Linked DNA regions of Diceros bicornis minor. The main gene of each other region encodes a partner of the protein of the gene in region 2 in a complex. Links are inferred from orthologs where the notes say so. Each region holds a gene or a part of one and is shown on either strand. Other genes may lie near its edges. The genes, in order: MORF4L2, RUVBL1 and POLR2E.

Region 1 (3,748 bases), on a different chromosome or scaffold from region 2:
TAGAACAATTTTCAAACATATGCAAAAGTATAGAGCCATCTATATAGAGCGCGCGCACACGTACGCACTGAGGCACGCATACCCTAGCTGCCGGACACACGCCGGGCCCAACGTTAGAGGCGCACGCCTGCGCACACCCACCACCTGCAGCGCCACGAGGACTGGCGCGCGCACACACTCCAACCGCAAGGCCATGCAAGCTCGCCCGCGCACCTATACACTAGCCCCCACACCACGCGGCCGCAGCACCCACCACCCCGACTCATACACATGTCAAAACCCCCATTCTTCCTTTTTTTTCCTCCAAGAGTTGCGCGAGGCTCGGGGGCGTGGCCCCACGTTTGACCTCGCGCTTCCCCACTCGCGGGAACCTTAGCTCATTTCCGCCCATCCCGTTTCCGCAGGCCACGTAGACACTTCCTTTCCCAGTGGGGAAAAAAAAAAACCCATAATGCCTCCGTGCAGGAAAAAAAAAATAAAAAAAAAAATAAACCTCTGGTCAAAGCGGAACTCTGGGTCGTGAAAATAGGCCACGTGAACACCCTGCCCTATAGACTTATGACCCAACGACTGTCGCGCTTTTGGAGGGCGGGCTCAGAACCTAAGGGGGCGAACGTCATTGGCCAGAGCCCGCACTAAAGGAGGAAGATGATTGGCTTGCCCTAAGCCTTAACCGTGAAGAAGCAGGTTGCTAGCGCCTGCCTTTACTGCGGCGGAGTGTCATTGCTGACGTGGTGGGCCTCGTCCAATCATTTGATAATGGAACATTCTAAAACTTAGACGAGACGATTGTTATTGGCTGAAGGGCATAAGCCCGCCTCCAGGGTGACGTGTCTGCCTATGGATATCAGTTGCCAGAGAAACCTGGCTTTACTATGGCGGTTGGAGGGACGGCAGTGATCACACGTCGGCTGCTGGAAAGAACTGGATTCTCGTTTCAGGTTTCGGGGTGGGGGTGGGGAGAAAGGGTTGACGATTTCCTCTTATCGTCGTGTATATAGACAAGGTTAACTAATGGCTTCACAATCGAGCAGAGCTGGATTCAAATTCCTACTCGCCAACGCCCAGCTTAGGCTGGCTCCTGTTCTTTCTGTGTCTCGGTTTCCATGTTTGTAAAATGGTGACAATAATAGTATCTACCTCAGAGACCTGTGTCTCAGAGGCGTGTACTGTATATGCGTGTATATAAGGCACTTAATACGAAGCCTGGCTCCGAAAGATATTAACCATGATTGTGGAGAGAAAAACCCGCGTAACAGAATGAGGAAAAACATAAATTATGTGAATTCGTTCATTATAGTGCTTTTCCTGCCCATCAACTTCTTCTTTAGAAGAAATTAGAGATATAAGAGAGACATATAAATCTTTACTCATGAAATAATTTGCTAATTGGGAATTACCTCAAATAGCGAGGATTGGAATTTTCCATATTGAAAAGTTTAAAAAAAGGAGGAGGGGGAGAAAGAGATGGAGAACGAGAGCGAGCTGGAGATGAACCACATGCAATAAGTAGGCCTTGTTTGGATCCTTATTCGAGCACACCAGCTGTGGGAAAAAAAAAACTGCTTAGGATGCGTCGGGGAAATTTGAAGACGGATTCGATATTTGATGTTTTTTTAAGGAATTGATGTCGATTTTTTAGACGTTATAATGATATTGTGGTTATGTTTTCAAATAGTCTTTATCTTGTAGAAATATGTATGAAAATATTTACGGATTAAGTCATAAAATATCTGGAATTGGTTTCAAAATACGTTGATGACTAGAATTTGCTTCAAAATAATCTCAGCGGTAGGGGGAAGTGGGGAGGGGTATAGATGGAACAAAATTGGCCCTAAGTTAGTAATCGTTTAAGCTGAGTGATGGGCATGTGGGGTTCCTTATATTCTGTTTTTATTGGTATGTGTTTGAAATTTTCCATAATAAAATACAGAAAGTCAGCTATTCAGTGAACTTAAAAAAAATCGGAGTTGGGGGGAGCGGTGGGTGGGGTTATAGATGAAACAAAATGGCCTTCAGTTGGTAATTGTTGAAGCTGGATGATAAATTTGGGTAGGTTTGTAATATTCCCTTTACATTTCTATCCATTTGAAGTTATTCTCAATAAAAAGTAAAAAAAAGGCAAAAACAAATTACTTTGTCAAAAATCAGGATGAATGTACGAAAAATTTGAAAATATAACCCCAAGAAAGGAAAAAGAAACACTTGTACATTATTTATCAGCTCTGTTGTCCTTTGTGTGTGATAAAATGTATTGACTGATAGAAGAGAAAACCATCATCTCATGTCTTTTTATTTTATGTCCTGTCCTGTCCCCTTGTTTGACCTTCTAGGCTATCATCAGAAAAGCTAAGTTTGCTATATAGTAGGGATCAGAAGATCTGATCCTGATTGCAGAACCGTCCCTGATTACAGAAACTTGGGTAAGTGCCTCCCTTCTGGCCTCAGTTCTCAAACAAGATAATTTCACACAACATTCCTAACTATCCAGAAATATTTTGAAGATAAATAAGCGCCTATCCGGGAAAGCACTCTAAATTCTAAGGGGAGGATGGAGCTAAGTCCATTGGTGCTTCCAGTATAGAAAGCGCCTGAACAACAGAGGGTTGTGTAATTTTTAATTCCTTGATAAAAGATACTGCAATTGATCCCCTATAGTTAGTTACATACATTCATATAGTGTTTTTCTCACTTTGTGGCATCTCACATGCAGCATAATTTAGTGGTTAAGAGCAAATGCTGACTTACCGAATTTAAATCCTGGCTCTGCCACTTCTTATGTGATCCTGGGCAAGATGCTTACACACTTTGTCCCTGAATTTCCTGGTATATAAAATAAAGATAATAATAGTTCCTACTTCATAGGATTGTTAAGGGGATTATATGTAAAGTACCAGGACAGTGCTTGGCACTGTGTTTGCTTTAATAATAATTATGGCTCTATTAGTCTTTCTGGTACATCCTGTTTTACACACACATGCACACTTACACTTCTAAAAGCAGTGGATACTTCTTTTTGGAATTGTAAAAAAATAATAATACTTTTGGTTTCTCTCCTGATTTTCCAGAAGCAGCAGTTACCACTAGAACTGAATTCTGAAATTATGACTTCTGGCTTGTCCTAACAATCTAGAAAGATTTTGAGTATATTGATCATATTTATTTATAAGGGAATTTCCAGGAGCTATAATTTTAACTAGCAAATAATAACCATATTCAGTCTGCTAACAGCTTTTATATCATTCCTTCTTTGTCTCGGACTCAAAAATGTCTGTTAAACATAAAGGAAGTGTTCCAAGATCGAAAAGAGAGAGAATTGATGTAAATGTAACTAACAGGGTGTATGTGCATTTAAAGGTTTATTCCAACAAACTGTAGATGTTGTTCACACTCATTTGTAACACCCATACACAAAGGTGTTAGCATTTGGAGTCTGCATTCCTGAATGGTCCATCACTTGCATGAGGAGATGAAGGAATGTTTTCACTCTCTTGACAGCTTCATTTTCCCATGGAGTCACTATATTTTTCTTATTTTTCTCCCTTCTGAAAGCTAGGTTGCAGAGGAGGGCACTGCCCTGGTGGAAAAGATGCAGTAGATGGGTAGGCACAAAATCCCTTTACAGGAGACCATTTGGAGAATGATTTAAGGGCTAAAGGAAGGGAGGTGGACTGTTGGGCCAATAGGAGCTCAGAGAAGGCAAAGGCCAGGGTAGCCTGAAATGGAGAAAGCCTCAAGGAGGAAAAGA
Region 2 (3,748 bases):
GGAAGTCTTACCCATTCATCAGGGTTTGGCCCAGGCCAAACCTCATGATGCCTTCCCTGGCTCCCCAGGCTGTTCAGGGTGGCCCTGCTCTGGGCTTGTACACCACGTGGGTGTACCTGCTCCCACACATCTCATGTTGCAAGTTTCCCAACTAAGGACTAAGCTTGTCAAGGCTGGAGATTTTGTATTATATCTCCGTATCCCCAGCGCGTTGTAGTGTGGCTCACAGCAGGTGCTAACACATGTTTGTTGAATGACGAGATGGATGGGAAGAGGACACTGTGGTGCAGGCAGCGTTAACATCATTATGGAACCTGAGGGGACACATTTGCAGGCTGATTGTCTCACCTGAGGTCGGAGCATGGGATGAGGATTATCCAGGCTGTGAAGCCTTAAATCCTCAGCTGGAGTTCCAATTCTACTGATTATTTGCTGTACCTTCTTCGCCGGTTATTGGGCCTCTTTTAGCCTGCGTCTTTATATATATTAGGAATTATACTACCTTACAGGGTTGAAGAGTTTTGGAAACTAAAATGTTATTCACAGCGAACTTAAATAAAGGGAGAGGGCGGAGGCAGAAGCAAAGTTCCGCAGCGGACGCTGAGCGGAGCCAGGGTGAGAGCAGTTGGCCGAGCTGGGCCTCCGCAGGGAGTTGCAAATGCTTGGAGTCAGACAACAGCTCAGTAAGCAAAAGTCAAAGCTTAAGCTCTAAACCTCAGTTTCTCTATCTCCAAAACGGAGGTAATAACTTGAGCTTCGCAGAAGGATATGACGTTCAAATGCAAAAATGGATAGGATGGCACGATTAAAAGCCGGACTCCAGGCGCCCACTTCGCTGCAGCGCCACAACCCCTGATCATCCTGCGGGCGCGACCGCTCTGCGCTCTCGCGCCACGCGCCAGAGCAGGAAGCGCCGGCTGTGGGAAAGCCAACTCCGTCACACAGCCGGAAGTGGGTGGGCGGAGCCCTACCGGCAGCCGCGATGGGCGCAGCCGTGAGCCAATGGGGAGCTGAGGCGTTCCCGCTTCCGCCAATGGCGTGCCGACCAAGGCGGGCCTTGACAAACCGCCCTAGTAACGGCCGCATGGTAACCCAGGCGCCGAGCGTGGGGTCCTAGCTCCAGGTTTTCCACGCTGGTTTTGGCTTCCGGCATCGGCAAGATGAAAATTGAGGAGGTGAAGAGCACCACGAAGACGCAGCGCATCGCGTCCCACAGCCACGTGAAGGGGCTGGGGCTGGACGAGAGCGGCCTGGCCAAGCAGGCCGCCTCGGGGCTCGTGGGCCAGGAGAACGCGCGCGAGGTGTGGTGGACCGGCCAGGGAGTTGGGGCGCCGAGCAGGGCCCTGCCGCGAGAGGCCGCTGACGGGGGCGCAGGGAGGGGCGCGGGGATGCCCCGCCGAGGTTTTCTATCAGGGCGGTGAAAATGGGCTACGGGGGACGGCAGGGGGGCGCCGCATTGGCACTGGGAGAGGGGCGGGCGCAGGAGAACAAGTGACGTCCCGCGGGGCGGTTGACTGGTTGCTTCACCTCATTGACGGGTCTTGATTGAGCCCCCCACTCCGTGCCGCCATCTCCGCGCGACGCTGGCATACAGCGGGGAAGAAGACGGATGAGGTCCCGGCTCTCATGGAGCTTACATTTTAGTGTGATGAGAGACAGGCGGTAAACGGTTAAGCCAGTAAACAAAATAATTATTATACTTTGGTGGGGGTCAGTTCCTGCAGGGTTTTGTCGGCCGTGATAAGGAATTTGGATTTTTGTGAACGCACTGGGAGGCTGTGGTGGTTTTAAAGTAGAGAAGTGATCAACCTGAAAAAGCTTACTTAGGTTCCCACGGCTTGGGAGCTGAAGGAGGGAAGTGGGAGTTATAGAGAGGAGCAATCTGCTGTACCCACACCCCTAGCATTCTTTTGGCTCATACCAAATAAATCCAGTTTTATTAAGTGGCAGTGATGCCAGGTCCTTTCGCCTACATTATTATTATTATTTTTATTTTTTCCCCCAAGGCCCCAGTAGATAGTTGTACGTCATAGCTGCACTTCCTTCTGAGTTGCTGTATGTGGGACACCGCCTCAGCATGGCCGGAGCATGGCCGGAGAAGCGGTGTGTCGATGCGCACCGGGATCCGAACCCTAGGCCCCCAGCAGCGGAGGCGCGCACTTAACAGCTAAGCCATGGGGCTGGCCCTTTTCGCCTACATTATAATCACAAAACTATTCAAGCTTTTTGTATTTTTTTGCAGATGAAATAAATGAGGGTGGGAGAGGTCACTTCACATACCCACTTGCCACTCACTTTAGTAATGGTAATGCTGGGCTTTGTACCCGTGTGTGTTTCTGCCTCCCAAATCAGTGCTCTCTCTGTGATAGTTATAGCCACCCTCTCAGCTTGCTGAGCACTGTCAGACCCATGCCCCTTGCCTCTGACATGGCTTAGCACCCACAGGAACCATTATTAAGTAATAATGAGGTTAAGACTATTGCCTCCTAGCCTAATTGTGCTAATACAAAGGGCCAAAGAAAAGCCTCTGTTTTCCATTTTGAACATGATCTTTCCAAAAAGGAAATATTGACAGAGTCAGGGTGACTTTGAAATGTCTTTTTATCCATCTTCCACTTACTGAGGACCTGTTAACTGCAAATAGCTAACACTGGTTGAATGCTTGCTTTGTGCCAAGCATTGTGCTAAGCAGCTTTATCTCCATTGTCTTGCTTTTCACCTCCACCCTAATAATCGTCCCTTCGCCACTTTCTTATGACACTTTTCAGACATACAAAATAGTTGAAATTTCAAGACTTATATGGTGATTACCTGTGTATCTAAATTCTACAATTAACATTTTACTCAATTGCTTTATTATATCCATCCACCATTTTTCCATGGTGCTGCTCATTTATCCATCCACCAATCCACTTCTGCTCTTCAAAGCAAGTTGCAGACGTTAGTACACTTTACCCATAAACTCCTTGGCATTTGTGCCACTAACTATATTAGGAACTCTGTTTTCAGATAAGGAAATTGTGGTTCACAGAGGTTAGGTAGGTAGGTCACAGGTCACTCAGCTGGTAATTGGTGGAGTAAGGATTTAAACCCAAGTCTATCTGACTCCAGAATCCATGCTCTTAACTGATGCTATCTGCCTCTGTATGAATATGAGCTTCCTGAGGATACAGACCAGGTAATGTTATTATATACTCAGAACCTGACTCATTACCGAGGCTTGGTATTTATTTATTGAATTAATAGGCATCCCACCTCAGCTACTGGGTCCTTGTATAACTTTGGTCACATCAGCAGCCTCCCTGGTGCTTAATATCCTCGTGTGAAAAATGAGAGACTAGGTGATCTTTTAAAGGCCCTTTCAGTTCATAATTTTTAAATTTTAGAATTCACTGAACATATCTCTCTAGAGAGAAGGAGCCTAAACTGAGGGAGATTAAATGGAAGAGGTGCAAGTGTGTGAATAAGAATACATAGCCGGGGCTGGCCCCGTGGCTTAGCGGTTAAGTGCGCGCGCTCTGCTACTGGCCGCTTGGGTTCGGATCCTGGGCGCGCACCGACGCACCGCTTGTCCCGCCATGCTGAGGCCGTGTCCCACATACAGCAACTAGAAGGATGTGCAGCTATGACATACAACTATCTACTGGGGCTTTGGGGAGAAAAAGGGATAAAAAAGAGGATTGGCAATAGATGTTAGCTCAGGGCCGGTCTTCCTCAGCAAAAAAAGAGGAGGATTGGCATGGATGTT
Region 3 (3,748 bases), on a different chromosome or scaffold from region 2:
CTCACCTGACACACCTTCCTCCAGACATCCCCAGGGCTCCCTCCCTCTCCTCCTGTGATCTGGACTCTCCTCCTCCCCTCCCCTGACCATCCCTCTGCAGACTGCAAACCTCCCAGCTCCCGTAGCCTGCTCTCTCTCTTCTTCTGCAGCATTGTCACCTTCTAACATACTTTGTCACTTATTTATTATGAGACAGGCACAGTCAGGAGTAGGGCACTGTGGGATATCTGAGACCCGGGGCTTGGGGACAGGACAGGGGAAGACCGAGATGGGAGCACTTCATAAGCACCAGGAGCTATGCCAAGCTCCTCCCAAACACAACCATCCCTTCCGATTCTCTGCTAACCCTCTACAATGGGCACTTTATTATTTCCATTGTACAGACGGGAAAACTGAGGCTAGGGGGCGTTAAGTTGCACGTGGGCCAGAGCCAACTGAGAGACGGCCCTACAGTTGGATGCATAAATATTTATAGAGCTCTTCCTAGGCCGCCCGACTGTCCCTAGGAGGCAAGCAGACCCCTGCCCCCCTGCAGGCCTCAGTTTCCCCGCGCACACCTCGTTTCTGCCTGTTGAGATTCTAAACCGCCGCCCCAAGCGGGCGTCGAACGGAAACTACAACTCCCGAGAGGCTTTGCGGTCAGAGCTACGCGAGAACTTCCGAGGTGCTGGTGGGAGGAGCCCTGCGCACGCCTCTCGCGCAGCCAACGGCCGCTCGCGGAAGGCTCGGGCTGCCCTTGGCGCTGCCGGTCCCGAAGGTCGCTGTAGTGAGGCGTCCGCTGGCGACAGCCCTGCACGGGGCGGATGAGGGGGCCCTGACCGGGGCTCGGCGCAGGCGCAGTGGGCGCGGGTCCCGTCAAGCGCACGCGCAGTGAGTGCGAGCGGCGGCGGCCATGGACGACGAGGAGGAGACGTACCGGCTGTGGAAGATCCGCAAGACCATCATGCAGGTGAGCGGCGCGTGCGGCGCCCCGCTTGGCGGACGCGGGGAGGGCGGGCCTCGCTGGTCCGGGCGAGCCGGGCGCGCGGCGGTCCGGGGGGCGGGCGGCGAGCGCACGGCCCGGAGCGGGGACGAGCCTCCCCCACGCCCGCCCGAGCGGCTGGAGCCGAGGGGTCGGCAGGCGGGGCCCCCGAGGCTGCAGCGGGCGGGGTCTGTGGGGACGAAGGGACTCCGGGGGCAGGGGCCTGCGGGGGCCGGGGGACCCCACAGGGGCCAGCAGCCGAGTCGAGAGTCCGAGCGGCCCCGGGGGCGGGGTCTGCGGGGATGGGGGGACCCCATAGCGGCCAGCGGCCCGGTGGCCGGGGTCTGCGGGGACTGGATGACCCCACACGGGCCAGCGGCCGAGTCGAGAGTCCGAACGGCCCCGGGGGCGGGGTCTGCGGGAATGGGGGGACCCCATAGCGGCCAGCGGCCCGGTGGCCGGGGTCTGCGGGGACTGGATGACCCCACACGGGCCAGCGGCCGAGTCGAGAGTCCGAGCGGCCCCGGGGGCGGGGTCTGCGGGGATGGGGGGACCCCATAGCGGCCAGCGGCCCGGTGGCCGGGGTCTGCGGGGACTGGATGACCCCACACGGGCCAGCGGCCGAGTCGAGAGTCCGAGCGGCCCCGGGGGCGGGGTCTGCGGGGATGGGGGGACCCCATAGCGGCCAGCGGCCCGGTGGCCGGGGTCTGCGGGGACGGGACGACCCCACAGGGGCCAGCGGCCGAGTCGAGAGTCCGAGCGGCCCCGGGGGCGCGGTCTGCGGAGACTTTTGCTGTCTCTCCGGGCCGAGATCTCCCTCGAGTTGGAGAGGGGGAACGGCAGACACTGGGTGTCCCGCTTATTGATGTTTTTGGAAGGCGGAGCACCACCCCGCGTGCCTAGCTCAGAATGCCAGAATCGTGGGCTGGGAAGATACTCTGGTCAGCTGGCCTGAGGTGCCGTCCTGCGAGGATGTCCGTCTCTGATCTCTCGGTTTGGTGGCTGCTTTTGCGCCTCGGCCACCAACTTGGACTTCCTGGGGCTGGTCGGAGTGGAGTGACACTAGCCAGCTGGTTGAGCAGTCACTGTTTGTCACTTGCTTTAAGCCGTCCTGTGGGAAGGGACCAGTGTGACCCTCAGAGGCCCGGTGGGGCATGGCCTTGACCAAGACCGCCCAGCTTCTCTACTGCTTTGCAAAGTGACCCCAGAGACAGGGGCTGAAACAACTGTGCTTCAGGCTGACAGCGTTGGGGACCCTGAGAGAGCAGACATGAGGGCTCAGGAGGCAGAATCGGGCTGTGGGGACTTCACGGAGGAGATGGGGTGGGAAGCTCTGACTTTCCTGTTATCCATCTTTGTCCTCTTCTAGTTGACCCCAGTCAAAGAGCCCACACGCTCAGGCCTTCACCCAGTTTCTGAGCTGGAGTTGCCTGGCCAGCCCAGCAACGCCCCTCTCACCCAGCTGTCTCCATCTGCCCCAGACCCCAGGGCCCAACTCTGCCGCTGCTTCCCACTCAGGGCCTCTCCCCGAGGCTGGGGATAAGACGATGACGCACACGATTACCTGGAGCAGCTCGGGGCTCTCAAGTGCCCCGTGGTCTTTGTCTCCACTCGTCCCTTCTCCCTTTTCTGGCCTCTACGCACACCCACTGCACCAGGCCCCACACTGCCCACGGCGCCCTCTGCAGCGGCCTCGTCCGGCCCCACCTCTTTCTGTTATGCCTTCTCTGCCCTGGGGTCACTTGACTCTTTCTGTCTGCAGCTGTGCCACGACCGTGGCTACCTGGTGACCCAGGACGAGCTGGACCAGACGCTGGAGGAGTTCAAGGCCCAGTTCGGGGACAAGCCGAGTGAAGGGCGGCCGCGGCGCACGGACCTCACCGTGCTGGTGGCCCACAATGACGACCCCACCGACCAGATGTTCGTCTTCTTCCCAGGTGAGGGCTTTGCCGGTCCCTGGCAGCCGTGTGTCCGCGAGGGGTCATGGTTCTGGTGGAGCCATCTGAGGGCCTGCTGTGTGGCCCAGAGTCCACACTGGGCCTTGTCTTTCTGGGAAGAAAATCCCCCTCGCCCTCCTTATTGGGAGGGTGGTGCCGTTGATCTCTGAACCCTCTCAGTGCCTTGTCTAGCTTCGGTCTCCTTGGTCCCCTTCCTTGTTCTCTTCTCCTTGGCTGTTTTCTCTGCCCAGGATTATCACAGGCCTTTAGCTGGGCCCCCGGCCCCTCCTGACCTCAGATCCACCCGTGTCCTCTGCCCCCACCCCGTCAGCCCCGCCTGCTGCTCCCTGAGGCTCCTTCCTGCCCTTGTCCCTGCCGATCCCCCTCACCACACCGTTCCTCTTCGCCCTGCCTGGTCGGTGTCCATCATCGTCCCTAGAGACCCAGCTCAGGTGCCGTCTCCTCCAGGACCCTCTCTGAGCCCGGGCTGAGTGAAGAGCCCCCCGAGGGGTGTCCCAGGACCCCCGCGTTCCTGTCTCTGCGCCTGCTGCACTCAGGCAGCCTGGCTCTGAAGCCTGCCAGAGTTGGGCCACGCTGGGGCGTGAGCACCTTGGGGGCGCTGGAGTCAAGGGAGTGGGCAGAAAATGTTTGCAGAACAGACCCAGGTGGCGCTAAGAACGGTGTCCCCCGTGTGGAGACGTGTTTACTGGGGACAGTGAGGCCTGATCACCCGCCTCCCCAGACCCTGCCTGGGGGCCGGGCTGCCCTGGAGTTGGGGGTCTCTCTCTACTTCCTGGTCTTTGGTGACGTTGGGGGCGTCCTGCTTCTCTCGGACGTGCCTCGGGGCAGA

The links.
Region 1: RUVBL1 (region 2) and MORF4L2 share a complex: the UniProt entries of both Homo sapiens proteins name them as parts of the nuA4 histone acetyltransferase complex. The link is inferred for Diceros bicornis minor from reciprocal best matches to the Homo sapiens genes RUVBL1 and MORF4L2.
Region 3: RUVBL1 (region 2) and POLR2E share a complex: the UniProt entries of both Homo sapiens proteins name them as parts of the PAQosome complex. The link is inferred for Diceros bicornis minor from reciprocal best matches to the Homo sapiens genes RUVBL1 and POLR2E.

The regions. Positions count from the first base shown.
Region 1 is NC_080781.1:96,707,617-96,711,364, reverse strand, and holds the start of MORF4L2 (mortality factor 4-like protein 2), read left to right. Parts: upstream 1-848; 5' UTR 849-941; intron 942-2,333; 5' UTR 2,334-2,423; intron 2,424-3,748. UniProt on the Homo sapiens protein: Component of the NuA4 histone acetyltransferase complex which is involved in transcriptional activation of select genes principally by acetylation of nucleosomal histone H4 and H2A.
Region 2 is NC_080741.1:92,873,371-92,877,118, reverse strand, and holds the start of RUVBL1 (ruvB-like 1), read left to right. Parts: upstream 1-1,083; 5' UTR 1,084-1,160; coding exon 1,161-1,301; intron 1,302-3,748. UniProt on the Homo sapiens protein: Possesses single-stranded DNA-stimulated ATPase and ATP-dependent DNA helicase (3' to 5') activity; hexamerization is thought to be critical for ATP hydrolysis and adjacent subunits in the ring-like structure contribute to the ATPase activity.
Region 3 is NW_026691553.1:615,485-619,232, reverse strand, and holds the start of POLR2E (DNA-directed RNA polymerases I, II, and III subunit RPABC1), read left to right. Parts: upstream 1-841; 5' UTR 842-892; coding exon 893-949; intron 950-2,723; coding exon 2,724-2,898; intron 2,899-3,748. UniProt on the Homo sapiens protein: DNA-dependent RNA polymerase catalyzes the transcription of DNA into RNA using the four ribonucleoside triphosphates as substrates.